4 linked regions of the Stegostoma tigrinum genome follow. Each later gene encodes a partner of the first gene's protein in a complex. Links are inferred from orthologs where the notes say so. Each region holds a gene or a part of one and is shown in the gene's direction. Other genes may lie near its edges. The genes, in order: rbx1, dyrk2, kbtbd4 and klhl22.

Region 1 (7,373 bases):
ACTGCTAGACTCAGTACGCAACAGGTGCTGAGGAAGCCATTGAGGTAAAAACCTACCTGCCCTCATCCCTACTAAACTAGTCATTACAGATGCATCTCACCATGTCTTGGTAGGAGTAATGTACAGTCCTTGTTGAGGCTAAAGTCCCCGTTTCTCATCAACAATATCTTCACAGAATCCCTATAGTGCAGAAGGAGGCCATTTGACCCATAGAGTCTGCATTGACCCTCTAAAGAGCATCCCACCCAGATCCATCCTATCCCCATAACCCTGCATTTACTATGGCCAATCCACCTAGCCTGCACATCTTTGGGCTGTGGGAGAAACCGGAGCACCTGGCACAAACCCATGCACACAAAGGGAGAATGTGCAAACTCCACAGAGAGTCCCCCAAGACTGGAATTGAACCTGTGGTTGCTGGCGGAGTGAGGTAGCAGTGCCAAACACTGTACTGCCCTGCCTCATAGTGCAGCACTACCATCAGCTAATTGGATAGATTTCAAAGAGATCTAGCAACTCGAAACTAAGCATCCATGAGGTACTGTGTACTATCAGCAGTAGAATTACATTCCACTACAACCTCTAATCTGACAGCCTAGCGCGCTCCCATAATGAACAAACTTGCGATTGACCCTGGTTCAAACAAGAATGGAGGAGGGCATGCCAGAAGCAGTGTCAGACATACCTAAAAATGAAGTATGAACCTGGTTAAGAAACATTGGACAAAGTATTTAAATAAAAGCAAAATGCTGCAGATGCTGGAACTGAAGCAAACAGAATGCTAGAGAAACCCAAAAGGTCTGGCAGTATCTATGCAGAGAGAAACAGTTAACAATTTGAGTTCAGTATGACTTCTGAAGGACAGCCATACCAGACGTGAAATGTTAACTCTGTTGAATGTTGCTGCACTTGTCTACCATGTAGTCACTTGGAGTCATAGACATAGACAGCACAGAAACAGATCCTTTGGTCCAACTTGTCCATGCCGACCAGATATCCTATATAAATCTAGTCCCGTTTGCCAACATTTGGCCCAAATCCCTCTGAACCCTTTCTAGTGATGTACCCATCCAAATGCTTTAAATGTTGTAATCATACCAGCCTCGACCACTTCGTCTGGCCGCTCATTCCATATACACACCATTCTCTGCGTGAAACAGTTGCCCCTTAAATTCCTTTTATATCTTTCCCCTCTCAACTTAAAACTATTGCCCTCTGGTTTTGGACTCCCCCATCCCAGGGAAAATACCTATTTACGTTATCCATGCCCGTCATGGTTTTATAAACCTTTATAAAAGTCACCCCTCAGCCTCTGACTCCCCAGGGAAAATAGCCCCAGTCTCTTCAGCCTCTAGCTATAGCTCAAACCCTCCAACCCTGGCATCATCCTTGTAAATCTTTTCTGAACCCTTTCTAGTTTCACAACATACTATAGGAGGGAGACCAGAATTGCACACAACACTCCAAATGTGGCCAAACCAATGTCTTGTACAGCCACAACATGACCTCCCAACCCGTTTATTCAATGCACTGACCAATAAAAGCAAGCATACCAAACACCTTCTTCACTATCCTACCTACCTGCAACTGCACTTTCAAGGAACTATGAACCTGCACTCTAAGGTGTCTTGTTCAGCAACGCTCCCCGGGACCTTACCATTAAGTGTACAAGTCCTGACCTGATTTGCCTTTCAAAAATATAGCACCTCACATTTATCTAAATTAAACTCCATCTGCCACTCCTCAGCTCATTGGGCCCATCTGGTCAAGATCCCGTTGTACTCTAAGGTAACCTTCTTCACTGTCACTAAACCTCCAATTTTGGCATCATCTGCAAACTTACTAACCATACCTCCTACAGTAACATCCAAATCATTTGTACAAATGACAAAAACCAGTGGACCCAGCACCAATTGTTGTGGCACATCACTGGTCACAGGCCTCCAGTCTGAAAGGCAACCCTCCACCACAACCCCCTGTTTTCTACCTTTGAGCCAGTTCTGTATCCAAATAGCTAGTTCCCCCTGTATTCTATGCTATCTATCCTTACAAACCAGTCAGCTGTGAGAAACCTTGTCGAACACCATTCTGAAGTCCATATAGATCACATCCACTGTTCTGCCCTCATGAATCCTGTTACTTCTTCAAAAAACTCAAATTAGCGAGACACGATTTCCTATGTACAAAGCCATGTTAACTATCCCTAATCAGTCCTTGCCTTTCCAAATAGAAGTAAATCCTGTCCCTCAGGATCCCCTCCAACAACTTTCCCAACACCGATGTCAGGCTTCATGAGCAAAAGAACAGAGATGACACGAGGGAAGTGCACTTGTGATCTGGAAATCACTGAAAACGTGACGGAACCAGATTCAAAAGTAGCTAGATATCTGAAGGGAAAATACCTCCAGGGCCAGGGATAAAGAGCCGTGTAATAGACTGTTATTTTGAAGGACCAGTAATGACATAATAGCCAAGTGGCCTCCTTCTTTGCTATATTATTCTGTGGATCAATTTTAAAAGTAGTTATTTGGGTGAATCACTTCAAAACATTTCAATGTGAAATGGAAGAACTTTCAATGTCGATATTTTTAATCAGCATGCTCAGATTCCTCACGCTTTGCCTTCTGCCAGTCAGCCATTCCTCTGGCTCAACCAATACCTTGCCTCTAACACAATTTGGGGCGGCACGGTGGCTCAGTGGTTAGTACTGCAGCCTCACAGCGCCCTCGGGTGACTGTCTGTGTGGAGTTTGCACTTTCTCCCCGTGTCTGCGTGGGTTTCCTCCCGGGTGCTCCGGTTTCCCCCCGACAGTCCAAAGATGTGCAGGCTAGGTGGATTGGCCATGCTAAATTGCCCGTAGTGTTCAGGGTTGCGTGGGTTATAGGGAGATGTGTCTGGGTGGGATGCTTCAAGTGGCAGTATGGACTTGCTGGGCCAAAGGGCCTGTTTCCACCCAGTAGGGAATCTAATCTAAAAAAAACCATCTTGTTTCCTTAATAATGGATTCTAAAATCTTACCAATGATTGACCAGGGCTAACTGGCCTATAATTTCCAGTCTTTGGCCTCCATCCCTTCTTAACCAGGTGTTATATCAGCCATTTTCCAGTCCTCTAGGTCCCTCACTGATTCCAGTAATTCCTGAAAGATCCTCCAATGCATCCATAATCGCCTCAGCTATCTCCTCCAGACACTTGTAGTCCAACTGGTCCTGGTGATTTATCCACCTCCAGACCTTTCAGCCTTGCAAGTATGTTCTCCTAAGTGATGGCCACCACACTCATCTCTGTTCATCGACATTCTTTCAGTTCTGGTATGCTGCTGGTGAATTCCACTGTGAAGACTGATGGAAATTAGATCAGCCGTGCTAGCTAGAAGCACCAAGTGGCCTGCTCCAGCCTCCAATTCATGTGTTTTAGTCTCGCTAAGGTGTGATCAGTATCTTCTACATTGTGAAAAGTTTTGAAGTGCTAATTTCACATCTCCACCAAGTCTTGCACAAATTCCCACTTTGGTCTCCAATTGGCCCTGCTTATCTTTTTACCACTCTTCCAGTATCCATAAGTTTTATGGAAGAATTTTGCGTTCAAGCTGCCAGCATTCTATCTTTGCTTCGACTATTTGCTTTTATCAAACCCCTCGGAATATTCCACGTTCAACATGCTCAGTTGTATTCGATGAAGCACAACTGACGTCAACTCCAATAAAAATCAAATTCCACATAATTGAAACACAAAGGGATTTGATTTCCTGGTGGTGAGGATGGTAACAACAGGGCAATGATCCCCAATAACAGCGGCCATGGCCTCGTGGGGGTGAGGAAGAAATCACGGCAAACCACTACCTGCAGGTGGCGCCATGCCGAGATGGGGGCGGTGCTTTGTGTAGGCGGTCACTTCTGGGGGTGGGCTTTGTGCATCTCATCCGGGTGGTCCTACCATCGGAGGCGGTACTAGGTGACGACATAGAGAGGCGAGGCTTTACTGGGGTGACGTTACGGAAAGTGGCGTGGCTCTGTGACGCCACACGGTGATGTTTACGTGCCAGTAGGTGGGCAGGCCTTTGATGTACAGCGGGTTTGGTGGCGAAATAGCGGGAGGAGGTGGAGCTCTGCTTCGTGCAGTGGGCGTGGCCAGAAACGCGTTGCGAAGGGGCAGGACTTTTGTTTGGGTACCTCCACAAGAGAGGAAACGGAAACTCCGGGGTGTAGACGAGAACATGTGACGTAGAGGCGGAGCTTAGTGGACTCCTGGCCCCTCCATACCGGAGGAGGCGGGGCTGAGTACAGTGTTTTTGAAGTTTAGTGTTGTCGGGATCCTCGTGACGCTAAGTAGGCGGGGCGTTAACCAGTCGGCTGCGCATGTGCAAATTGAACATAGCTGATTGGTTGGCAACAGGTAGCCACCGGCTGAAGGCAGACAAAATGGCGACGGCAATGGATGTGGACGCACCAAGCTCTACCAACAGTGGCGGGAAGAAGCGCTTCGAGGTTAAGAAGGTACAGTATGCTAGGATGCAGGATACAGACTGCTTCCAACGGAGCAGGGCTGGGTATTGAAACGTGTGATGTTTCCAAATCTGGCAGTTTGAAGCGGATCGAAACACGACCGGATGTTGGCGGCTTAATTGGCAGCACCAGCTGACTAATGGTGGCCGTGAGCTAACCGTAAGAGCATTGGGCAGGTTCTTGCGCCCCTAGTGTCTCCGTGCCCCCTAAATCTCATCCCGCTCCCACCTCCTGCCATCTTAGTCTGACACGCTCGCACGCCCCCGGCCTGCCCTTCCTGAGAGGCGCAGACTGCTCGCTTGCTGCTTTGTCATTGGGCCTCTGTCACATACATGTGTTTGTTTTTAGGCCGCTGGGTGCACGTCTGTTTCTCAGGGAGACAGATGACCAGAGGAGCGGGTGTGGACTTGTTACCAGCAGCTCCTGATAGTATCTTCCAGTACGGACCCATTTTAACACTCTACAGAAACAAACAGTTCACTTCCCGCTCACATTCGTACGTGCATTTTTGGTATATTGTTTAACAATAAAAGTAAGAATTGCTTTGTAATTGAAAATAGGAATTGCTGGAAAAACTCTGGGTTTGGCAGCATCTGTGAAGAGAAAAGTTAAATGTATTGAGTCCTCAACTTTATTCCTTTATCCCAGAGAACTAAGTTAATTACAGTTTATATTAAATGATTTCAATGTATTAGAAAAAAATGAGTCCTACCCTGTGCAAGAAGTTCTTGCTTTTTTTTAAAAAAAAGCTTTTCAATGGTGCAAGTGAGTTCAGAAGTAAACTTGTCATCAGACTTGAGGGGTTGTAGCCCTTGTCCCTGCATGCATTTAACAGTAATAGAGACACTTCCATTGTTCACAAATGTTTTCACTTTTCTCAGTTATTTGAGAGAAAAACAAATATTCATTGTCAAAATGCTGTGTAAACTTAAAAGTTGTATTATAGGTTGACATGTAATTGTTACAAATACATAATAATAAATTTTATGATGTCTTTTTATAAATGTTATTTTGTGTACCTGGATCGGTGTGAAGGCCTAGTGGTATTGTTCCTAATGCTCTGGTGATTTCAGTTCAAATCCTGTCTTGGCAGGTGTGGAACTTGAATTTACTAATTAAAAATTGGAACGAGGAGTCCAATAATGACATGAAATCATTGCTGTTTGTTGGAAAAACCCATCTGGTTCATTAATTTGCTTTAGAAAAGGAAACTGCTGCCCATGTTTGGTCTGTCCTACATGTATCATCAGATCCACACCAATGTGGTTGACTCTAGGGGTGTGCAGTGATTTAACGTGAGCCAATCTGGGTCATGGATCTGGCATGTTGGCCAGAAAAGAGCAGAAATATAGACTCTAGTCTTCAGGTGACTGATGTTGGATCCCAGATTGTTCTGTAGTATCACAGTTCTGGGTTGGCTGAGACACGCCACTGTTCAGCTTGGGGGCACCCGATACCAGGGACCAGACTTTATAAATGGGAGTGCTTCTGCAAGAAACATTATATGACTGTTTGTTTGTTTGTTTCTGTGGTAAAGAAATGAAGTAGCCCATTGGCCATAGAGAGTACCAGACAATAGCAGGGTAAGGCTGGATGCTGTCTGGGATGTGATGCTGGTTGTTATCTAAGGGGAGACAGTTCTTGTGATATGATTGCTTTTGCTTTTGCTCCTCCAATTGAGGTTGTTGTTTTCAAAATAGTTTGGAACTTACTGCCCCAAAGTGTTTAAATTCCCTTGAGTTTCTCAAATTTAGGTGCAGCCTAAGCATGAACATTTGTGGTGAGTGCAGTCTTTAATGATATTTCTTCATTTGGCCCTTTATAGAAAGCTGTGCAGTTGGTCATTCAGTCTTTATCTGACATACCTGTGTTACACTTAGTGCAGTCTCGTCTGCCAGTATTTGCTTCTCACTAATTTCTCTTATTACATTATCTCATTCTGCCAGCATATTCTTTTACTCCTTTCTCCCTAAGTACCAATCCTGCTTCCCTTTAATTGCAGTACATCTAAGCTATACCTTAGTACCTTCACCCTGAATTTCTTAGTGGACATATCAATGACTGTGTTTGTTTTATGAACTGCATGGCTGCTGATGCTGCAGTGATCAGGAATGTAGTAGGTCTGGAGGTGACTACGGAAACTAGAATATGCTAAATTCAGTTTCTAATAGTTGCCAAGTTAACTCCTTTCAAGGCCTTTTAGAATGGGCAGCAAATGCCAAACTTGTTGATATTTGCATCCTAGGAATGAATTGGGAAAGGAATTTAGTAATAGATTCAGAACTTGTAAGTAGATGAAGGAAAGAAAAACTCTCTGTCTAGGTCTCTTTTTCTCTCTCTTTTCTTCTCTTCCTCCCACTCCCCCCCCCATCAGTAGGCAGTGATCCTCTTTTAAAGTGTCATAAGTATTTGAAGCTAATATCACATTCAGTTTAGAGCTTAATGTTAAATTGTTGTTCTGCTGATGTGAGTTTTTCCAGACTGTCCACTTATTTCCCACTTGGTTATGGTGTGGTTTGTCCAATATCTGCAAATAATGTGATGGTACAGAAGTCCAATGATATTTCTTTCATTTTTTTGAGGTTATTTTAAGAGTTACTTGAAAACTGAATTGAGGGATTGTGTAAGTTTTTTTTTAAACTATTTTGCGTTCAAAGTTTTGCGGTATACGAAGCATTTACAAACTTGATGGGATGATGCAGTGGAAGTGTCTCTTCAACGTCATGTCATGCTTTTATTGACATTGCACGTACACAGCACCACAAACCAGGGTCTGAAATCAGAACTAGGAAAGCATTATTCCAGTCTAAGATATTTCAAGAGCGCAGTGCGAAAGGGGGCGTGCAATTGTCCATTTACTATGTCCAT
Region 2 (7,683 bases), on another chromosome or scaffold:
TTAATCGATAGAATAATTAACCACTGAAAGCAATTATTAATCTGCAATCAAAACAAGGGTTTCAAATATTAGAGCAAAGTTCAAATCGCTATTGAATTTTAATCAAATCTTTAAATTAGACGATTGCTTTGAAATTTATAAGTAAGGTGTGACAGCAATTTTGTTTCAAAAGTCAAGTATTTTAAGCTCACCACTAACAACTCTCTTTGTCTTCTTCGAAGCTCACTGAGGTAAGGGAGTTGTGGTTGCCAGTTTAAAAACTAATTTATTGTAATTTTCAGATTAAATGTTGTTCATCATAACTTTTCTTAAATACAGAAATATGTAAGTGAAAATAAATTACTTTCCATTTCTATCAATTTTGATCATGTGAGCATCTGTGGTAGTTTGACAGCTGTGAGTTCTGTAATATGACTGCTGGAAGGTATTAAAGGTGTTTAACATGAGTTAGATTGATAATCTCCACTGATCTCCACAAAAAATGTACCTAGTAAAACAACTGAAGAATCATTGACGGATCAAATTTCCATTTTCAAATATATATGCACATTCCATGCATTTTAGTACACAATTGAATAACATGAGAGGCACTTATTGATGGCATACTGTATGTCACAGTGGTGATGCTGAGATGTGGTGATCACATTAGATGGAACAATCATAGGACTTTTTCACATTTCAGGAAATCACATTAAGATAGACCCAATGAAATCCTTACAGTTCAAGTTTTGTGTTTCTAGTTTAATGCATTTGTAGATTGCTCTTGAACATTCAAGAACTTGATTTTTCAATTTATTTGATTTTTAATACATGGAAACAGAAATGTATATTTAAATGCAATCCCACTGCATTCTCAGCCTGCTTATCACCAGAACATGTAAAATGAAGCTTTATGCATGAGAGTTTTTAAAAAGCCAAGAAAATTTATTTTACTTATACTTGCTCAATGGATTTTCTTCTACCAGGAAGATTTTAGTTTTGGAATTCCCTTGGATTTCAAAGGGACAGAGCATCTACCTGTTTCTTTCCAGTTCAATTGCATAACGTGTACAGTAAATCCTGTGTATCCATAAAATTCCCCTATCCTTGTCAAAAAAAGTAACAACAAAAATCAACATCTGCAGGCAAAAATTACATATCTGTGATAATATTAACACTATTTTTAACAATTTCCATGCTCGCAAATTTTGTCATTTGTCCTTAGGAACAGAATCCTTGCAGGCAAGGAGGAATGACTGCATATCTTTTAAATGGAAACTATCAGAAGTGATTAAAAGAGATAACAAAGTGTGGAGCTGGATGAACATGGCCTGCTCAATTGAAGTCTCTATGGTTCATAGGAATTGACATGTATTCACAAACGGTTGACTGCGGGTAATGAATAGTGATCACATTTAATGATGTAACATCAGGGAGTACATTTATTTTTCAGATGGGGCCATCCTTCATGGTAAGTCAATTGTACATTTGCCAGGTTGAGCTGGATGAACACAGCAGGCCAAGCAGCATCTCAGGAGCACAAAAGCTGACGTTTCAGGCCTAGGCCCTTCATCAGAGATTCACACTTTGTCATCTCTGATTCTCCAGCATCTGCAGTTCCCATTATCTCTGTTCATCTGCCACCTATCCATTCACTCTTCCAACTTATTTATGTCTTTTGGAGATCTACATTACTGTCTCACAGTTTACAAACTTCCAAGCTTTTTATTACCTGCAAATTTTGAAATTATTCCCTGTACTTCAAGGTTTATATCATTGATATATATCTGGAAAAGCACGGCGCCCAACACTGATTTCTGTGGAGCTCACCTACAAACTTGTTTTTAACCTATTAACCATTACTGATTGTTTTCCTCCCACTCAGCCTGTTTTGTAAGAATGTTGCTGCAATTTCTTTAATTCCATGAGTTCTAGCATTGCTCCTAAATCTGTGTGCAGCACTGTATCAAATGCCTTTGGAAGTCCATGTACACCACATCAACAGCATTTTCCTGGTTAACCCACTCTGTTACCCCATCAAAAGCTCCAGTAAGTTAGTTGATTTACTGATAAGTAATCTATGCCTGCTTTCCTAAAGTTGTCTATGTGGTGACTAATTATTTACTTTTCTGCTGATTGTAAGTTATTGATGGTGCTATGTTCAAAGTGGCTCAGTGTCTAAATCTTAAATGTTGAACTTGCCTATTATGGAGCAGGCTTTTTTTTCAGCTGTCGACTAAATTTAATGGAATTTCTCAAACTGGACTAAAGGCTGTGCTTGAAGCCAGTCATTTTGCATATAGCTGACAGATGTATTACAGTGCATGTAATTAAAAATAAACCTATTGGTGTAGATGTTTGGAACAATACCATAATCTATCGTGAGGTATAGCTTCACTCAGTGCCACTAACATAGATATGGGGGATGAAAAATTGGACAAGTGTGTTTTGTACTCAGGTTTTTTCTACCTGTAACTTTCCAAACAGCTGAACTTACTCCACTAGCATCTTCTTATATTTCAGGAGAGGGTCTTACTAAAAAGTTGAAGATTCACGTGGTTCATTTTGTAGCACTTCCACAGAATAGAAATGCATTAAAAGAAAGATGCATGTGAAAAGGTGCTTATCTAATGCCAGCTCTCACGGGAGTTGCATGAACTACAAAACTTCTGTTACAAGATAATGTATGGCTTAGAAAGGGTGGACGCTGGGAAGCTGTTTCCATTAGGTAGGCGGGGAGACTAGGATCCGTGGGCACAGCCTTAGAATTAGAGGGGGTAAATTTAAAACAGAAATGAGGAGACATTTCTTCAGCTGGAGAGTGGTGGGCCTGTGGAATTCATTGTCGTGGAGCGCAGTGGAGGCCAGGACGTTAAATGTCGTCTTCAAGGCAGAGATCGATAGATTCTTGCTCTCACAAGGAATCAAGGTTTACGGGGAAAGTACAGGGAAGTGGAGCTGAAATGGCCATCAGCCATGATTTAAATGGCAGAGTGGACTTGATGGGCTGAATAGCCTTACTTCCACTGCTATGTCTTATGGTCTTATGTGTAAGCATCACAACCCATTTATGAGGAGGACATAAACCTCAAGCCATGACTGGTATCACAGAGACCCTCAGGATCAGGAGTTAGCTAACACATGACTGAGGATTAGGGAGACAAAGGATGCATGCCCAGGGATAAGATGGTCAAGGAACAGGGACAAAAGGACCAAATCATGAGTCCAGGATAATGGGTGCAGAAGTCAAAGTGGGTGGGATTGGGAGTCCTTAAGTAGGGGGGTGGGCTGAGTTTAGGAACAGGAGTTGAGAATTTAGCTCTTGAACCTTTTCTACTATGGCTGATCTGTGTCTTAACTGTGTTTAGACACTTGCTCAATATCCCTCGACACCCTTACTCAATAAGAACCCCGTTTTATCAGTATTAAAAATTTCAATTGGCCCAGTTTTGGCCGAAGAAATTTCAAGACTGCAACTACGAATTCATTCTTAACGATTTTCCTGCTCCCTGCACTCAGACACCTTGCCATCTGCAGATTTGCTTGCAACTTTTTTCTTGGATTAATTTCACCCTGGTCCAGCATGCTACTATTGCTGTTTGACTGCTGTGTCTATGTCATGTCTTGGGGTGTTGTCCTTGCACTTTCTGAGCTTACATTGCTTAGCAAAACAAAAGTTAAAATTGTCTGGCTGCATGCTGCAATTGGCAGAAAATATTCTGGACTGTCTTCAAAATTTGAGACAGTCATTGACATTGGTAAGTATCTCGCTTGACTAATGTACAGTGATGTACCAATTTATGAGTTTTAGAGATCATTCTAAAAACTAATTGTAATAATTAACTTTGTGGAAAGTAAAATTATTAACTTAGATGTTTGCAAATACACTTAATTCTATGTATTGAAACTATGTTTTAGAATACGTATTGTTTTAAAATAGAACATTGCTGTACTTTGATGCATTATAAATATCCTTCCACTGCAGTATATTTAATGATTTATAAGTTTAAAGCTCAAAAATACTGTAATAGCAACAAATTTAAATGGAGCTCACCACAATAATGACAATACCAACATTAATTTGGGAAATTAATTTTATACCTGTTAGTGAAATATATTAACAATCTGTGTTTACATCTTGGTTGAACATTGTAAGGAGCATAGTTCAGAAATTGCGGGGTTTATCTTTGGACTGCGAGATATTTCACTTTTTCAGGCGTTTTAAAATAACAACGTCCAGCCTTTTTTTGTAAAGGTGACGCCTTTCGTTGGACCACCAGTTGGATCCCCATATTAGGTGAGGACAGTATTATCACATTCATATGGATGAACTCAGGGTCATTTAGGTGAGCCTAGCATTTTCTGTTCTTGCCTCCTATGCCTGTGTGATTTCACTGTAAGCTCTTGTCCACTTTCTTACTAATCCATTCCGTCCATTGTGTGATGTTTTCTTATTGCATTTTTAACCCCAGAAGTTGCCGTTTCTTTATCGCTGTTTCTCTCTCTCTCTCTCTCTCTCTGCTACAGACTGAACTCGCCAACAAGCATTTCTCCCAATTTCCTTAAAGAACGGGTTACCCGTTCCCTTTGCTGTGCCCGAGGCAACGTGAATGACGTCGGTGTTTTGCTTGGTTTTTCGGGTGTCGGCTGTTTTGAAATGACTCTGCGAGTATCTCCCTGTCTCTAATGTGTATGTACGGAGTTTCACTTAGCAACCGGACGGCCAGTGTTACAACCCGAATCAATCAGCATTACACACAGCTACCGTCTTACTGCACCATTCCAGTGTAGAACACAAAGCCGCTCCCAGACAGCGGCGTGCGGGGAGTTGCTCGTTGTGTGTGTCTGTTGATAGTTTTTTAAAAAAATATATCGATGAAGTTGTGCATGATGTTGTCAGGGCAGCAGTGGTTGAGTTCGGAGCAGTTTGTAGACTGTACGGACGTAGGTGACTCTTCCACTACAGCCTGGAGTTGAGAGAAGGATCAGCTAGAGATTTTTTCCCTGTGTGTGTGTGTGTGTGTGTGTGTGTCTGACTGAGCGGCCATGTTAACGAGAAAACCCTCCTCGACTGCTGCCTATCCGACGGGTAAGGAGATCCACAGGGAAAGGGCCAACACCCAGCCAGCTGCATTGAACCAGACCCCACGCCGTGTGTTTTCACTCCAACTAATTTCCAGCTCCGTGCACCTTTCATATCGTTGGAAGGGGAACTTTTTTTCCACACACACCCTTCATGCTTTGACATTTGGGGTTGGATGGGGGGGGGGCGGGGTGGTCTGGCCAGAGAGAGGGTGAGAACTTCCTACTAATGGAAAGTGTGCTCGCCTCGGCGAATGAGGATGAGGGTTTGGAGAATGATCAACTCACTTTGGTAGTTTTGAAAGGTCATTAATTTATAATAGTGTATGGCGGAGGGGGCGGACCTACTACAGTTGTCCCCCGGGGCTAGGGTGGGTTTCGGGGGATAAAGGATTTAGCTTTATGGTTTCCTAAAAGGTGTGTGTGTTGTGTGAACATTTGTTGAGGTGAGGTTGGTGTGTTTAGTTTGCTTTAGTGGAACAAATGGGGATTGTGTATTGTGTTGTCGATCGTTCCCTGGAGGGTGTGGGGTCACGGCTTTCCTGCCGTTGATTATAAGCGCTTGATATCTTCTGTTTACTTTAACGCCGAGCGCTCTTATTTTCTCACTCGTTTTGAACATCTGTGGCGCTTTTTTTTGTGTGTATGTGTATGTCTGTGACAGGTAGGGCCGCTGACAGCACGGTGTTACAGCCCGATTACAGGACGGGAACCGATTGCTCGGAGAGGCAGAGAGGCGGAGCAGGATCTCGGCTGGGAGACCCGCCATCGCCCCTAGGATTGCCGCCACTGAAGAGTCATACGGTAAGAAAGACAAAACCCACTAAAACATTGTGAGAATTTACCAGAGCAAACGCCTCTGGATTAACTGAACCCGCGTAACAAGAGAAAAATAATCCACCATGGAAACCACAGTGCATACCATGTCAAAGTACAGATTCAGTAGCACTTGCAACAATGAAGACTAAAGGGATGTATGTCTTCAATTCAGGTGTATCGATTGTTAAGTCACTGAAGATACACTGGAAATCTTACATTTTTCTTGCTCCACTAGTTTGATTGTGGGTGAAGGGCGTGTCAACAGTTTAGATAACAAGTATGCATATTCCTTGTTGGATAACCATAATCGCTTTTTCACTTGAGGTTTCCATACGTTGACATAATCATTTTCTAATTGCGGGTTTTGTGTTTCTCAGCCCTCACGGTTACCACATTTTGCAGGAATGCAATTTTAACAGACACACAAAGCAAGTATAGTCTAAAGTACCAGTTTATCTGTGAGGGATGTGACTGCACTGGAGAGGGTGCAGAGCTTTACCAGGATGTTGTCTGGGCCCGAGAGTTTTGGTCATGAAGAGATTGAATAGACTGGGATTGTCCTCTTGAAGCAGGGGAGACTGAAGGGCAAAGACAGAGTAAAGCATTTCCCCTTAGTGGAGGGGTCAATGACAAGATGCATAGATTTAGTGCAAAGGTCAGGAGGTTTAAAGGGAAATGAGGAGAATTGTATTTTCACCTAGAGGGTGGTGACAATGTGGAACTCAGTGCCTGTAACGATGTTAGTAACCCTTATGACATTTTAGAAATATTTAAATGTACACTTGTGAAGCTAAATATTGGATGATAGGATTAGAACAGTTAGGTGCTCGTTTTGACTGACACAGACTTGATGGGCTGAAGGGCCTTTTTGTGCTGTAGATCTCTCTGACTGGCCAACAGTCATACTAAGTTCAGACGAGGTTTCAGTTGGGGTTGAGATAGTAAACTAATTATTCTTCCCACTCCCACTCCTTCAAAACTGCTGTAATTTGGAAATAGTTTGTAAACTAGTAGGTTAAGGCTACAATATGATCTGAGTGATGTTTTTGGTACAGACCAGTTTGGATACGCTGGATATGTCGTGATCCTCAACTCTCGGAGGCCTCGGTTTTAAACTATGGTCTGATAGATCACAGGGTGGGGGCGGGGAGAAGCATGTTTGGGACTTCAAGTGAAGCTTTGTTTAAATGAAAAGCATTATCGCCTGTTTTAACATGAAAGTATTGTGCTTTTACGAGTGACTGATGCGGGAAAGCATGAATATTTCTCTCGCGGGAGTACAGAAATGTTTTGTTTGACTAAGAAATTTGCTGTTTGTTCCTAACCCGCGAAGTGCACTCGTTAAAAATTTTTCGGGGAGCGGAGAGCCGGGGGGAGGGGGGGGGGGGTGCTGATGCAGGTTGTGCAGTGATTGTTCAGTTTAGACTTAGGTTAAAACAATCTTAACAAAAACTAACGCAAAAACGCAATTTTCCACCCTACCTCCAAATATATAAAATCCACCCGTTTGGAATAAAGCGAATGTCAACAAAGGAAGCGATATGAGCATTAAAAGATTTAAATGTATTAAAATGAATTTAAAGTAGATGCCTTGGAGCCCGGGGAGATGTTACGACAAAATTTTTTTTCTTCCCACAACATTGTCCGGGCGTATTAAATACTTCATGGCTTCGCTGCATTTGCGTGGTGCATCTAAAATAGCAGTTGATCCGCACAGTGGGATGTTTATGATTTCTGATCGAGACACATTTTTAAATTGTTGTTATCCCACTATTCCAATGTTTTTAAAAGTACACAAAAATC
Region 3 (7,877 bases), on another chromosome or scaffold:
GAGAGAGCATGGAATGTGTTGCCAGCAGCAGTTGTGGAAGCAAGATCACTGGGGACATTTAAGAGACTGCTGGACATGCATATGGTCACAGAAATTTGAGGGGGCATACATGAGGATCAATGGTCGGCACAACATTGTGGGCTGAAGGGCCTGTTCTGTGCTGTTTTGCTCTATGTTCTGTGTTCTAATAACATGAAAGGGAACAAAAATAGTTGGAGTGCAAGACTTGTGAGTCAGATTGGAAACAAAGAGGGTGATATGTGTTTATAGGCACAGGACAAGGTTAGAGTACTTGATGAAAACTTTGTATCAGTGTCTACTGAAGAAGAGGATGCTGACAAAATATAGGTAGAAGCAGTGTATGACAGAATAACGGAAAGGCTGTCTGCGCTTCAGACATTTAAGTCACTTGGTTCTTGTGGTTAGCACCCAAGATTGTTAAAGAAAATGGGGAAATAGTTGATGGGTTTGCCACAATCTTTCACTCTTCTCCAGATCAGGGAGAATGGAGGTGGCAGAAGACAAAGGGCAGATGTGACAACCTTATTCAAGGAAGGGTGAAAAGGACATTTCTAACTGATACTAACTGGTGAGACATTAGTGATGGATAAGTTTTGAAAATCAAAAAATTAGCAAGCATTGGAGATGCCTGAGTTAATTAAGAACAGCCATTTACAGGTTTATGGAAAGTGAATTGTGCATGTCTAATCTAACTGAATTATGTGATGACATAAAACAGAAGGTCCAAGGGAATGTGGTTTTTCTTGTCTACATTGATTTTAAGAATGTTTGACAAACTACTACAGAGCTGGTTAGCAAAAATCAGGCTCAGGAAGAGGAAGGCCAGTGTCATCTTAGATCAAAAGAAATAAAATTACTTACAGATAGAAAACAAACAGTGAGCCATAGTAAATAGTAGTGATTCAGACTGGAGGGTGGCTAGTAGTATTTCCTAAAGTTCTTTATTAAGGCTTTTTTACATATTTACCAATTTTGCCCATGATATATTCAGAGAAGAGGCAAACAGTGAGGTAATATAAACTGCCTCAAATACAACAAAGATCGTCTCACAGAATGGGCAGAACCTGGAATTGAATGGTCTTGTTGCCAGTTTTGCAGGGTATTTATCAATAACTTAGATCAATAGGGTATTCCAAATCTAAGTTTGATGATTATGTTAGGTGGCACAGTAAGCACTGGAGACAGAAGTGGGATATTGCAAGGAGACTTTGATAGTTTTACCCATAAAACCATGACAAATACAGTTTTACGTGGGAAAGTGACAGGTCACCCAGAGTAATTACAATGGAAGAATCACTACTTTCCAAGTGAGTAGTGGCAGAGCATGGAGATTCAAGTTCTCATGAATGAAAATCACAAACTGCTGGAGAGGGTTGAAAACTCATTTCAGAACCTAATGGAATATTAAACTTTATCTTAAGAAATACGGAATGCAAATGAATGGTGATTACGTTAATGTTACATAAAGCTCTTTACAAAGATACCATTGTAAAATGGATACATTCACAATGGAGGTGGGTGCACAATAGATTTCTCAGGATAATACCAGCGTTGAGAGGACTGAATGCTTTGCCCAGGGTTCAATTTCAATGAGTACAGAAGATCTACAGATGATTTAAATGAAACATGCAAAATGATTAAAGGCTTTAATAATGGGGAAAGTTCATCAAAACATGGAATAATTAGAGCTGAAAGGAATGGGGAAATCTAAAAACTCACTGAAATGAACATTAACACTAGGTCAAGTAAAATTACAATAATCAACAGGCATCAGATACAAAGCAGCCAAGAATCAGTTGAACAAGCAGGACAATACTTCATAATTTTTACTCAAAGTCTGACATACATCAACGAGATGGGTACCATCAGCAAATCAGATGCAGTTAAGCACTAAGACTTCATTTTACTAAGCTTCACCAGGAAAACATAGCAGGGGGCAACACATTGCCAAAAACTGCAATTACCAGCTATTCTGTAGTTCTAATATTATAGTAATAATTCATTAAATAAAATGAAGTATAACATTTAGCAACCACATGACATCCTAAATTACTTCACAATTAAACACTTAGAAAGCATTGTATTATAGGCAAATACAGAAGGCAATTTTGCAGGGTCTCACAACCAGCAATTATATTAACTCAGATCCTCCACTTTAGCAAAGTTGATTGCATGAGAAATAATTCAGCCATTTGAACTTTTCGGAACCATATTACACTGAAACTGAACCGGATCAGCTATAATCATACTTTGGTGACAATAGCAGGTTGGAGGCTGGGAATTCTGCAGCAAATAAATCACATCTCAACCACCCTAATGTCTGTTCAAAATCTACAAGGAACAACTTAAGAGTATGAGGGAATACTATCCATTGCCTGGACAAGTGCAGCTCCAACATGCTCAACAGCAAAACAGCATCCCAGTTGATCAGCACCCGATCTACCATCTTCAATTATCACGCCCTACATCATAGATGCACAGCTGGCAGAATTGTGCACTAACTGCAAGATTCACTGCTGCACCTCACCAAGCCTCTTTTATCAGTGCTTTTCAAGCCCAGAAACTTATACATAAAGTGCGGGACAGAATATATATGGGAACCTCACTACCTGCAAGTTCCTCTTCCCTCCCACCATCCTAACTTGGGAATTATATCACCATTCCTTCCCTCTGCTGGGTCATAATCTGGAAATTCCCTTCCTAACAGCATTGTGGATACACCTGTTATTTCACAACTAGAACAGCCCAAAATAGCTCACCATCATATTCTCAAGGGCAATTTTGGATTGGGCACAGGTGCTGGCCTAGCTAACGATGCCTCACATTCCATGTACAAATAAATTTTTAAAATCCCTGCTCTCACACAGTAGAAAATCCAGATATTGCAATGTAGACAAGAACATTCTGAACAGCTGAACAATGAAAATAACAAACTATTACTGCTAACATTTCTATCAGTTCAATCATGTCTGACATACACTTTCAACACCACTTTCTCACCCATGTTGCACGCTCATTATTCTGAAAGATTTAATCACTCCAAGATTCACAGCTTTTTGGGAAGATGCAGAAACAGTGACTCCCACTAGTAGATGCAATTTATTTTACAAAGTGTCAGTTTAATCTAACAAAGTATTTTGCCACATATCAATGTTCCCCTTTAGTTTTCAGAAGGTATTACAATTCTCCAGGATCAAGTCCCTGTTATTCTTGAGGCTTTGAATAGTTGAGTCAAACCCTCACCTTCAGCCCTGATGTTTCTCATTGCAGTGATTCTGAAATGTTAAGGGTTAATATCTGTTCTGCTCTCCAAGTGAAACATCTGTAAGCAACTTGATGCCTCATAAGCACCCCTGTTTCGCAGACAAATTACGGTAATCTAATTATGCTCTGTTCTCTGTAAAGATTGAACTAAGGCTAAAAAGACAAGCAAGTGTCCAGTCTCATACATTGTTTTTGGGCAGCTGACCTCTGGTTTACTGTCAGATGATTAAGTTACATACTATCGCTGTTGCTAGGCATGTAACTACGAGGGAGGAGAAAAAAACTGTATCTTGCATGCATGTCTGACTGTGCTAAAAAAGCCTGTATAAAGGGAGGAAAGTTCCCTTAATAGACAGCATCGCTTGACACGACTATGGAAGCCCTGCAAAGTTTGTTAAGAAATCCTCCAAAAGCTTGTACTTGCTTAAATAAACTGTGGCTGTGCACAGAAGTCGGCGCATTGCATTTGTATCAAGTGTGTAGGAATCTCCTAAAAGGGAACCCAACAATCCAAAGAAAACTCCAGACTCTTCATTCTCCCTACCTCACCCCCACACCCTCTGCACAGAAGCAACTCTACTCCAGCAAGAAAGTCCACAACCAGCACACTAGCAGCACCCACAAGCCTCCTAGCAATGCCATAACCCCACACACACTCAGGGATCTCACAGACCAAACTGCTACAGCAGCTCACTGCCTCCTAAACAGCTGCAGTACCCTCTTCTTCACATCCCTTTCCTCAGCTGCAGTGCACACTTTCGCCACCAGCACCCAAAACCCCCAACAGCTGCAGCACCCTCTTGTGCACCCCATCAACACCCTCTATGCTCCCCCTCTCCACCAGCTTCAACACCCTCTTCTGCTACACCCATTGCACCCTCCTCTCTGCTTGCCCCTGCCTGCATCTCCACCCTCTTACCCACACTAGTTGTATGATGCACCCACTTCTGTCTCCCCTCCCACCAGCTGCAGTATCCTGCCCTCTCTCCACCACCACCCCCACCCCGACACTGGCTGCAGCACCTGACCCAACCAGCAACACACTGCTCCCCACCAGCTGCAGCACATTCCCTATTTCGCCCCAAGCTGCATTTCCCCTACCTCCCCCCCTCAACTACTTGCAACACCCTTTGCCCTCTTTCCCCCATTCACTGGCTACAGCATCCTGTTCTCCTCGTCTCACACTTTTCCTTTACACCCCATATCCACAGTGCCCTGTCTCAACAGCCCACTTCCAGTCTCTAGGCCTGCACCCGGTTTATCGGCAGTGGCCACCTCCAGGTGCCGGCTGCGCACGAAGGTCAAACAGCGGGGACACGGATTCTCCTTCCTCCCCGAATCCTTCATCAGTCGTCGTCGTCGTCGTCGTCGTCGTCGTCGTCGCCGCCTCCTCCTCCTCCTCCTCCTCCTCTCCCGGGGACCCTACACCGCCTGCTGCGCCCTCAGTCGTCGCCGCCACTCACCCACATTCCGGAAGGTTCTCAACCATCCGGCCCGAGCCAGACCCACCAGCCTGGCCGCCATACCAACGGAACCGGAACTACCGGTCCGCCCCCCCCAATCCTTTCCTTCCTCGCCGCCGTGTTCACCTTCACTCTTCCCCCCTACCCCCATCCCCTTTCGGACGTTGTGGCCGCTGCTCCTGATAATTAAAGGTAAAAACAAAACACAAAGAGAGCTTTGGACGCGTTTGGAAATGCGATTCCGCTCGGTTAATAAATAGAGGTGAATTCGAGGGAATTTCCTATTCCTGAGGCCTGGTTGTTGATCTTCTTTCTCCCGGAGCCGCAGGGCCTGAATAATACACTTTCCTGTTGAATAATTTCACCCTTTTCAGAATAAATTTCTTCATTTAATAATTCCATCTTCCTGTTTCATAACATTCTTTTCTGCTTAATAACTTCAACTTTCTGTGTAATAGTACTATTTTCTGTCTAATTTCCACTTTAATAATTTCTCCCTTTGTTCCATTTTTTTAACTCAGTGAATCATTTCCCTTTCCTATTTAATAGTTCATTTCTGCTTAACAAGTTCACCTTTCTATTTAATAATACAACCTTCTGTTTCACAATTTCCATTTCATTTAATTGTTCACATTTCTGCTTATAATTGCACCCTTACTTTTTTTGGCAATCTTATTTTATAAAATTTGTTCATGTGACATGGACGTTACTGCCGAGGCCAGAATTTATTGCTCATCACTAATTTATTTCAAAATGCGGTGTTGGGTCACCTTCTTGAATCACTGCAGTCTGTGTGTTGTAGGCATATCCACTGTCCTATTAGGAAGGGTGTTCCAGGATTTTGATCCTGTAAGCGAAGGAAAGTTTCAAATCAGAATCGTGTACAGCTTGGAAGGGAAATTTCAACTGATTTTGCCCTCCTAGGTGGTAGAGGCCATAGCTATGGAGTTTGCTGTTGAATGAGCCTTGACGAATTACTGCAGTGCATTTTACAGATGGTACGCAGTGCTGTCACTGTACATTGATGAGGAAGTGAGTGAATGTCATTGTGGTCAATAGGGTACAGTCGGTTGGCTACTTTGCCTTGAATGGTGTTGAGCCTGGGAATACCACTTATCCATTTTACTCCTCCACACTCGTGACTTGTACCTCATTAGTTATGAACAGGCATTTGGGAATCGTGACAAGAGATATTGTGGAACTCCTAACCTCTGACCAGTTTTTGTAGCCACAGTTTATGTATCTAGGTTCAGCTTCTGATCAATTTTAACTTCCAGTATGTTGATAATGCAGTTTGCCATATTTCTGCTTAATAGAGTCATAGAGATATACATCACAGAAACAGACCCTTTGGCCCAATATATCCATACCAACCAGATATCCCAGATAAATCTTCTCCCATTTGCCAGCATTTGGCCCAGATCCATCTAAAGCCCTCCCATTCCCGTACCCATCCAGATGCCTTTTAAATGTTGTAATTGTACCAGCCTCCTCCGTTTGCACTGGCAGTGCATTCCATACACACACCACTCTCTGTGAAAAAGTTGTCCACTAGTTTTGGACTCCCCACCCTGAGGTGAAGACCTTGTCTATTTACCCTCTCTGTACCCTTCATGATTTTATAAAGCTCTATAAGGTAACCCTTCAGCCTCTGACGCTCCAGGGAAAATAGCCCCAGCTTCTTCAGCCTCTCCCTATAACTCAAACCCTCCAAATCTGGCAACATCCTTGTAAATCTTTTTTGAACCCTTTCAGGTTTCACAACGTCCTTCCTATAGCAAGGAGACCACAAGTGAATGCAGTATTCCAAAAGTGGCCTAACCAATGTCCTGTACAACAATGTCATGTTGTAGCTGTACAACATGACCTAACTCCTATAGTCATTGCACTGACCATAAAGGCAAGCATACTAAATGCCTTCTTCACTATCCTATCTACCTGCAACTCCACTTTCAAGGAACTATGAGCCTGCATTCCAAGGTCTGTTTGTTCAACAACACTCCCCAGGACCTTACCATTAGTGCATAAGTCCTGCCCTGATTTGCCTTTCCAAAATGCAACACCTCACATTTAACTAAGTTAAACTCCATTTGCCACACCTCAGCCCATTGACCCATCTGATCAAGGTCCCGTTGCACTCTGAGGAAATTCTCCACTATCCACAACACATCCAATTTTGGTGTCATCTGCAAACTTACTAACCATGTATTATCTATGTCTTGTTAAATATTGAATTTTTTTGCTGTATTTTTCCCAACGATACTGCCTCAGGAAATACGGATAATTGTTAAAAGATACTCATTGCCATCCCAGGCTTCGGGTAAGGTTCCCACATAATCAGTTAAAATCCCATTCAGTGGTTTTTCAGAAGCTTGAATCAAGTTGTTTTAAGTTCTGGTTGGGCTTTGCCCATTACCTTACACGTTGCAGTTAAAATCGGATCATCCATGATCTTACTGAAAGGTGCAGCTGCTGAAAAGACCAAGTGGCTTATTCTTGTTCCTCTATTGCATGTTCATGTATTCAAGCAAAATATTGCTGCTTTATATTATTGTTGATGTACAATATTCACATTTGTGCTTTGTTAAAGTGGAGATCAGCAAAAGGAATGACTGCCTTTAAGTTTCTATTGTTGTAATAACATAGAGAAGTTTATGGATACAAAATACTTAAAAAAAAATTTTTACATTTTGAAAATTTAAACAGTTTATTTTTTAATGTAATTATTCCTATAGGTCCTGTTTTACCACTTGCTAAAATGGAGCCAAATAGTGATGCAGGAGGTGCAGCCATCGCTGGAACAACAGATGAAAGTTATTTCATGAGCTATACCTTCACAGATAGATTCCATTCTGTGCGAGTTGCCCAGAGTATTATGGATCTGTGCCTTGAAGACCGGCTCTTTGCAGATGTCACCATCTCTGTGGAAGGCAAAGAATTCCAGCTCCACCGACTCGTGCTTTCAGCTCAGAGCTGCTTCTTCCGTTCCATGTTCACCTCTAATTTAAAAGAAGCTCATAATGATGTTATAGAACTCAAAGATGTGAATGCAAGTGTTTTCCAGCTTCTTGTGGACTATATTTACCGGGGCACTGTAAAACTGAGAGTGGAGGACCTCCAGGAGACATA
Region 4 (7,971 bases), on another chromosome or scaffold:
ACTAGGACTCTTGATATTACACTTTTAAAAGCATCCCATTTGCCAATCGTTCCTTTTCCTTCAAACCGACTCACCCAGTTGACCTCTGCCTGATCCTGCCTAATGTCCCCAAAACTGGCCCTGCTCCAGTTCTTAACCTTAACGCGTGGACCTGTCCTATCTTTTTCCATGAGTATGTTAAAACTGAAAGAGTTACGGTCACTGGACCCAAAGTGCTCTCTGACTGACACTTTAATCACTTGCCCAACCTTGTTTCCTAAGAGGAGGTCCAGTGTTGCACCCTCCGAAGTAGGGCCCTCGACATATTGATTTTGGAAACTTTCTTGGACACATTTGACAAATTCCACGCCATCAGGGCCTTGACTGGGTAACCCAGTCAATACAGAGGAAATTAAACTCTCCAGTCAATGCTACTCTGTTATTCCTGTAGGTATCTGCAATCTCTCTCCACATCTGCTCCTCCAGTACCTGCTGGCTATTTGGGGTCTGCAATACAAGTCCCAACAGAGTGACCATCTCCTTCTTGTTTCTAAGTTCTAATCATATGGCCTCATTTGATAAAAACCAAAAGAACTGCGGATGCTGTAAATCAGGAACAAAAACAAAGTTGCTGGAAAAGCTCAGCAGGTCAGGCAAAACCTGTGAAGGAAAAAAACAGTTAGCTTTTCGGGTCCGGTGACCCTTCCTCAGAACAGTGCTGAGGAAGAGTCACCAGACCCAAAATGTTAACTCTGTTTTTTTCCTTCACAGATGCTGCCAGACTTGCTGAACTTTTCCAGCAACTTTGTTTTGGGCCTCATTTGATGACTTCATAAGAATATCATCTCTAAGAACTGTTGTTATGTCCTCCCTTATCAAAACACCAACTCCCCCTCCTCACTTACTTTAGTTCTGTCACATCTGTAGTTTCTGTATCCTGGAATACTGAGCTCCCGGTTCTGCCCTTCTCTCAGCCCTGGTCCCATTATGTCTGTAACATCCCGGTCCGCTGGGGCCAATCCATGCTCTGAGTGCATCTGCCTTACCAGTCAGGCCTTGTGCGTTGAAATAAATACACTTTAAACCAGAAGTCTTTTCCTTCCCTTTCCTGCGCCCCTGGCTATCCTGAAGAGTAAACTTGCTCTCCATGGCTAATATATTTTCCCCTGATTTTTTTGCTGGCCCCTCTTCTTCAGAGTCTCATCTCCCTGCCAAACTAGTTTAAACCCTCCCCAGGTAACACAAGCAAATCTCCTTGTGAGGATATTGGACCCTCTCCAGTTCAAGTGCAACCCGTCTCCTCTACTCCAGAAGATCCAAAAACTGAAAACTCTGCCCCCCTATACCAGCTCCTCAACCACATATTCATTTGGCCTATCTCTCTATTTCTATCCCCACTGGCGCGTGGCTCTGGGAGTTATCAGAGATCACTACCCTTGAGATCCTGCTTACCTAACTCTGTATACTCGTTGCGCAGGACCCCAACCCTTTGTTTACGTATGTTATCGGTACCGATGTGCACAATGACCTCTGGCTGTTCAGCTTCCCCCTTCAGAATGTTCTGCAACCAAGCAGAGGCATCCTTGACCCTGGCATCCGGGAAACAACACACCATCCTGGTGAAACAACACACCTCTGATGAAGGGTCTAGGCCCGAAACGTCAGCTTTTGTGCTCCTGAGATGCTGCTTGGCCTGCTGTGTTCATCCAGCTCCACACTTTGTAAATGAAATGTGAGGCTGGATGAACACAGCAGGCCCAGCAGCATCTCAGGAGCACAAAAGCTGACGTTTCAGGCCTAGACCCTTCATCAGAGAGGGGGATGGGGTGAGGGCTCTGGAATAAATAGGGAGAGAAGGGAAGCGGACCGAAGATGGAGAGAAAAGAAGATAGGTGGAGAGGACAGTATAGGTGGGGAGGTAGGGAGGGGATAGGTCAGTCCAGGGAAGACAGATAGGTCAAGGAGGTGGGATGAGGTTATTAGGTAGGAGATGGAGGTGCGGCTTGGGGTGGGAGGAAGGGATGGGTCAGAGGAAGAACAGGTTAGGGAGGCAGAGACAGGTTGGACTGGTTTTGGGATGCAGTGGGTGGAGGGGAAGAGCTGGGCTGGTTGTGTTGTGCAGTGGGGGGAGGGGACGAACTGGGCTGGTTTTGGGATGCGGTGGGGGAAGGGGAGATTTTGAAGCTGGTGAAGTCCACATTGATACCATTGGGCTGCAGGGTTCCCAAGCGGAATATGAGTTGCTGTTCCTGCAACCTTCGGGTGGCATCATTGTGGCACTGCAGGAGGCCCATGATGGACATGTCAGCTAAAGAATGGGAGGGGGAGTGGAAATGGTTTGCGACTGGGAGGTGCAGTTGGTTATTGCGAACCGAGCGGAGGTGTTCTGCAAAGCGGTCCCCAAGCCTCCGCTTGGTTTCCCCAATGTAGAGAAAGCCACACCGGGTACAGTTGATGCAGTATACCACATTGGCAGATGTGCAGGTGAACCTCTGCTTAATGTGGAAAGTCACCTTGGGGCCTGGGATAGGGGTGAGGGAGGAGGTGTGGGGGCAAGTGTAGCATTTCCTGCAGTTGCAGGGGAAGGTGCCGGGTGTGGTGGGGTTGGAGGGCAGTGTGGAACGAACAAGGGAGTCACGGACAGAGTGGTCTCTCCGGAAAGCAGACAGGGGTGGGGACGGAAAAATGTCTTGGGTGGTGGGGTCAGATTGTAGATGGCGGAAGTGTCGGAGGATGATGTGTTGTATCCGGAGGTTGGTGGGGTGGTGTGTGAGAACGAGGGGGATCCTCTTTGGGCGGTTGTGGTGGGGGCAGGGTGTGAGGGATGTGTTGCGGGAAATGCGGGAGACGCGGTCAAGGGCGTTCTCAACCACTGTGGGGGGAAAGTTGCGGTCCTTGAAGAACTTGGACATCTGGGATGTGCGGGAGTGGAATGCCTCATCGTGGGAGCAGATGCGGCGGAGGCAGAGGAATTGGGAATAGGGGATGGAATTTTTGCAGGAGGGTGGGTGGGAGGAGGTGTATTCTAGGTAGCTGTGGGAGTCGGTGGGCTTGAAATGGACATCAGTTACAAGCTGGTTGCCTGAGACGGAGACTGAGAGATCCAGGAAGGTGAGGGATGTGCTGGAGATGTCCAGGAAGGTGAGGGATGTGCTGGAGATGTCCAGGAAGGTGTCTCTTCTGAAGCCACAGAATCTCCTGTCTGTCTTCCTCACAACTAAGTCTCCTATCGGTATCGCTCTGCCTGACTGCACCCTTTCCCTCTGAGCCTCAAAGCCGGTCACAGTGCCACTGACCTGCTGGTCGCCCCTGAAAGATCATCCCACCCACAACAGTATCCAAAACGGTGTACCTGTCATTGAGGAATGACCTCAGGGGAACCGTTTACTATTTGTCTTCCCCCTTTACTTCTTCTCGTGGTCACCCAGCTCCCTGCAACCTGCGCCTTAGGAGTGACCACTTCATTATAGCTCTTATCAATGACATTCTCTGCATATTTTCAACTAAGGAGGGAGTGTAGTGTACTGCAAGATCTGGGTAGTTTGTTATACTGTTATGAAATTGGGCTGAGCACATGCTAATCATGTCTTGGAATTCCACTGTGACAAATCTCAGCCGCTTGGATTTAAGGTGAGAGGGGTAAGATTTAAAAGGGACTTAAGGGGCAACATTTTCACTCAGTGGGTGGCGCATGTATGGAATGGTGAAGGCAGGTACAACATTTATAAAACATCTGGGTGGGTACATGAATAGGAAGAGTTTAGAGGGATAAGGCCCAATGTTGGCAAATGGGACTAGCTTAATTTTGGATATCTGGTCTGCACGGACGAGTTGGACTGAAGGATCTGTTTCAGTGCTGTACAACTCTGTGACTGTAGTCAACGGCAGCATATTTCCCATGACAAATGGACTGTAATGGATTGGACTGTAATGCATATACAGCAGTATGCCATACCAATCTCACAACTGCACCATATGCCAGATCCAAACACAGCAAACACACTTCATGTGCAACATGCAGTAATAGTCATAAACGTTTTGGTTGCAAATGCAATAACAAGCATGCAATCCATCACGTCTGCATTGGTCAAGATCAATCACCTAATTATGATAATCCTATTTATGAGCACTTGGCTTGGTATGCCTTGGCATTGCCAGTGGGCATCTAAATACTTCTGAGATATCATGAAGGTTTTCTGTCTTTACCACCTTCCCAGGTAGCGAGTTCTAGATTCCCACCGTCCTCTGAGTGAAAAGATTTTTCCTCACATCGCCTCTAAACCTTCCACCCCTCATCTTAAATCTGGTTAATGGTCCCTTCATCAAGATGAAATATTGCTTCCTGTCATGTCCTTCATAATTTTGTACATTTTAATCATGTCCCTTCTCAGCTCCAAGGTCATAGCGTATTCTGGGAACTCAGTAATATGCAACATTTAAAATTTGAAAGGGAGGGAGGGAGTGCAGTAAACTTCAAGAACTGGGAAGCTGGTTAAACTGTTGTGACGCTGGGCTGAGCTCGTGCTAATCATGTCTCAGAGCAATACATAACAACACATGTGCCCTGGCGTGTTGGTCGGTGTGTTCGGGGTTCACTTCCCACAGCAGTCCTTCAGCACGAACTATCAGGCTAACCCTTCCGGGATACGGTTATGGGGATGAGGCATTGAACTCTGTGCAGCATTCCTATGGCCTGTCCAACACTTATTCCCAGGGACAACATGGTGGCTCAGTGGGTAGCGCTGCCGCCTCGCCGCGCCAGGGACTTGGGTTCGATTCCACCCTCAGGTGACTGTCTGTGTGGAGTTTGCACGTTGTCTGCGTGGGTTTCCTCCCACAGTCCAGAGATGTGCGGGTTGGGGTGGACTGGCACATGGTGCCCAGGGATGGGTGGGCTGGCCATGGGGAAACGCAGTGGGGTGGGTGGAGGGGCCTGGGTGGGAGGCTGATGTGAAGGGCCGGATGGCCTGTCCCCACACCGTAGGGGACTCTAGGATTATAACTCTCTGTCGAAGATAAGTGAAGGTGGGCGGCGTCTTTCCAACATGCCCGCAAAAACCAGCTGTGGGGAGGAGGCAGGCGCGATCGGAATGCAGCTCTTCCATGGCACCCGAGCAGGCGGATTCACACGGAGGCAACTGCATGTACGTGTGTGTGGGGAATAAATACCAGAACAGGAGCAGAGGCCGATACTGATAGCCGGCCACTCGGCCCGTCGCCCCCGTGGTGTCATTCCTCAGCAGAGGTTGCTCCCTCCTGCGTCAGCGCCGGCCGCCATTTTGTGATCGGGCGGGTACGGCGATGAGAGACAAAATGGCGGCCGGCGGGCCGGGAGGCCCAGGCTTCAGAGCCAACCTCGGGGGGCCCGGACTCTCTTCAACCAAGGTAGGCGGTACTCATTAACTCCTCACTGGATAGCCTCCCGAGCCCGTACTCCCAGCCCTGAACGCTAAGGGTCGCGTTTTCAGTTGTATATTTGCTTCCTCTCGACTACCGAAGGGGCTTTCTGCAGTCTTTGTTATTGTTTCAGCGCACACCGCCACCTCAACAACAACAAAATAATAAATAACACCAGCACTCTGTTAGTTTTAGTTATATTTTTCCAATCAGCCAGCTCAGTGATGCTGTCACCCAGTTCTGGGGCAGGTGGGACTTGAACCTGGGTCTCCTGGTCTACACGCAAGGACACTACCACAACAGCCCTTGCCATTTATTTTCTTTTTAAATCTTATTTCTCAACAATCTGTTCAGAGAGGGTATCATCCACCTCTGGGGTAGGTGGGACTTGAACCTGGGTCACTTGGTCTATTACAAAAGCCCTTATCACTGATTTTAGATGCTGCATCGAGTTACATCTTACATGAGACCTACTTAAATACTCAAATCTGACTTCTTCCCCTCCCTCTCCTTCCTCTTTTTTTTAGCTTCTCTAATTCCTTTTAACCCTTCCTGGTTCCTTAAATCCACCTATTAGAATTGATCCTCGCATTCCCAAACCACTCCCAAGGTCCAAAATTCCTTCAGTTCCCATTGTTCCTCCCATCCCTTCACCTTTCCAAGTCCTACTGCCACTCTGATTCATATGTAATCTGCATATTTCCATGATCCTCCTGAACCCCCTCCCACATTATCTGTATGAGGCATGGGGTTCAAGGTCCGCATGCATACCGATGAGAATCCTCCACCGCTCATGTTGTCAGATAGACTCTGATATCATTGTGCATGAACAAAACGTAAGGAGGTGAGTTGGGGCCATGTTCCGTAAACATTCCACAATGTTGTGATACCCTCCTACATTAGTCAAGACATAGTTCAGGTGAGATGCAGTCTTATGGGACAGCAGAAAAACCATTACACAAACCATACTTTTAAAAAATCTGGAACATTTTGGTCCAATAATCCTCTGGTGATAGAAACCAGTCCAGGAAAACACGCTGATTCTGATGTATTTGTTTGTGTCTCCCTGTCTCTTCTGTGGTGTAACTTCCTGCACAAACGGGAACTGATCCAGCTTCCTCAATCTTGAATTTACACTGAATAAGTTTTCAGTAGGTTACGATCATGTAACTTGTTCCATTGCTCTGCAATTCCATCAGCAGTTCAACCTGTTGTCTTGATGTTCCAAGTAGCCTGCACACTTAATCTGCCCCTGCCATCCAATTTGTGCATTGATCAGCTACCCATGGTTGTGAAGGAGATGGGAAGTGGAAGCCAGGCAGATTCCAGACTCCACAAACATGTCTCCAAGGAGGAATACCATCCTCTTGATCTGAGAAGGTGGAACAGGATGGGGTTCTCATTGAGCCCTCATAGCTCAATTGCTAACTCCATGCCCCCACCCTCCCTACTCACTTGTTAAATGTCCAACATCTACTGAATCAATGACACATTGGCAAGTCTTGATAATTTTTAAAAAATGCCTAGGTAAATGTCACTATAAGCAAAGAAACTTTGGAAACCTACTGAGATAACCAGGTGTAAATCTGGATGAACACAGTAGGCCAAGCAGCATCAGAGGAGCAAGAAAGCAGGAAATGTCAGCTTTCCTGTTCCTCTGATGCTGCTTGGCCTGCTGTGTTCATCCAGCTCTACACCTTGTTATCTCAGATTCTCCAGCATCGGCAGTTCCTGCTATCTTTGAAAACACACTGTTGAAATAAAGCAACAGGCAAATAAAGCCTTACAACTTCAATTAAAAAAGTTAGTCCATCACAAACATTTATAGTATCAGTGACGTCAGGCTACTTCATACTTTTTCATCTTGTGTCAGTAATAACACAATCACACAAGCATTCAAAAAAATAATAACTTTTTACAAGGTAAATTAAACCACCTAAACAAAGCTACCACTCCTCTCTGTGGCTGCTTACACATTGGCTGTTGAGTTAAGTGGCTCCATCATTTTTGGAGCTTTGTCAATCATTCATAATGAGGCTTTATATAGAATGTTTTTACATATAGCCTTATTATGAACGATTGACTAAGATTCAAAATTGACTCAGCAATGTTTAACAACTACAGAGGGAAGCAGTAGCTTTGTTTAAATGACTTAATTAGAACCTGTAGTAACCCGATCTTTGAAGATCCTTAGTACCTACGCGTTTGGTAACATAAAATTAAAAGTGGAGAATAGCTTTTTGACATCGATACTATGAATAACTAATTGTGATTGCCTCTTACTTTTGCATAAAGCTGTCATTGTCATTTAAGAGAAATGTCGAATGGCTGTATTTTTTTTTGGAGTGTGTGGGTGTGAATGGGGACCAAGTTTCACTCATGGTTCATGACTTCTCTATGGTGCCATAAACCAAGTCTTCTAACAGATTTGATGCTGTGTGTTTGGAATGCTGAATGAAATTCCTGCAGTGGATGGTGGGAAGTGGGTGTGCGGGTTTACCCCATATTCTTATCTTCCACTGGTTGGAAGCAGGAATTCTGAAATCAAATCCGACTACCATTTCTAAAGGCCCCTGCACCATGAAAGTCCAGCCC

What was found.
Region 2: rbx1 (region 1) and dyrk2 share a complex: the UniProt entries of both Homo sapiens proteins name them as parts of the E3 ligase complex. The link is inferred for Stegostoma tigrinum from reciprocal best matches to the Homo sapiens genes RBX1 and DYRK2.
Region 3: rbx1 (region 1) and kbtbd4 share a complex: the UniProt entries of both Homo sapiens proteins name them as parts of the BCR(KBTBD4) E3 ubiquitin ligase complex. The link is inferred for Stegostoma tigrinum from reciprocal best matches to the Homo sapiens genes RBX1 and KBTBD4.
Region 4: rbx1 (region 1) and klhl22 share a complex: the UniProt entries of both Homo sapiens proteins name them as parts of the BCR(KLHL22) E3 ubiquitin ligase complex. The link is inferred for Stegostoma tigrinum from reciprocal best matches to the Homo sapiens genes RBX1 and KLHL22.

What each region holds. Positions count from the first base shown.
Region 1 is NC_081391.1:5,551,971-5,559,343, forward strand, and holds the start of rbx1 (E3 ubiquitin-protein ligase RBX1), read left to right. Parts: upstream 1-4,363; 5' UTR 4,364-4,421; coding exon 4,422-4,496; intron 4,497-7,373. UniProt on the Homo sapiens protein: E3 ubiquitin ligase component of multiple cullin-RING-based E3 ubiquitin-protein ligase (CRLs) complexes which mediate the ubiquitination and subsequent proteasomal degradation of target proteins, including proteins involved in cell cycle progression, signal transduction, transcription and transcription-coupled nucleotide excision repair.
Region 2 is NC_081371.1:37,909,072-37,916,754, reverse strand, and holds the start of dyrk2 (dual specificity tyrosine-phosphorylation-regulated kinase 2), read left to right. Parts: upstream 1-4,675; 5' UTR 4,676-5,025; coding exon of another isoform or gene 5,026-5,068; 5' UTR 5,069-5,290; coding exon 5,291-5,366; intron 5,367-5,412; exon of another isoform or gene 5,413-5,478; intron 5,479-5,725; coding exon 5,726-5,865; intron 5,866-7,683. UniProt on the Homo sapiens protein: Serine/threonine-protein kinase involved in the regulation of the mitotic cell cycle, cell proliferation, apoptosis, organization of the cytoskeleton and neurite outgrowth. Functions in part via its role in ubiquitin-dependent proteasomal protein degradation.
Region 3 is NC_081370.1:45,664,316-45,672,192, reverse strand, and holds the start of kbtbd4 (kelch repeat and BTB domain-containing protein 4), read left to right. Parts: upstream 1-4,865; 5' UTR 4,866-4,940; intron 4,941-7,483; 5' UTR 7,484-7,506; coding exon 7,507-7,877. Other genes in the region: ndufs3 (NADH dehydrogenase [ubiquinone] iron-sulfur protein 3, mitochondrial), read right to left, coding at 4,749-4,809. UniProt on the Homo sapiens protein: Substrate-specific adapter of a BCR (BTB-CUL3-RBX1) E3 ubiquitin ligase complex which targets CoREST corepressor complex components RCOR1, KDM1A/LSD1 and HDAC2 for proteasomal degradation.
Region 4 is NC_081379.1:47,907,363-47,915,333, forward strand, and holds the start of klhl22 (kelch-like protein 22), read left to right. Parts: upstream 1-4,965; 5' UTR 4,966-5,364; intron 5,365-7,971. UniProt on the Homo sapiens protein: Substrate-specific adapter of a BCR (BTB-CUL3-RBX1) E3 ubiquitin ligase complex required for chromosome alignment and localization of PLK1 at kinetochores.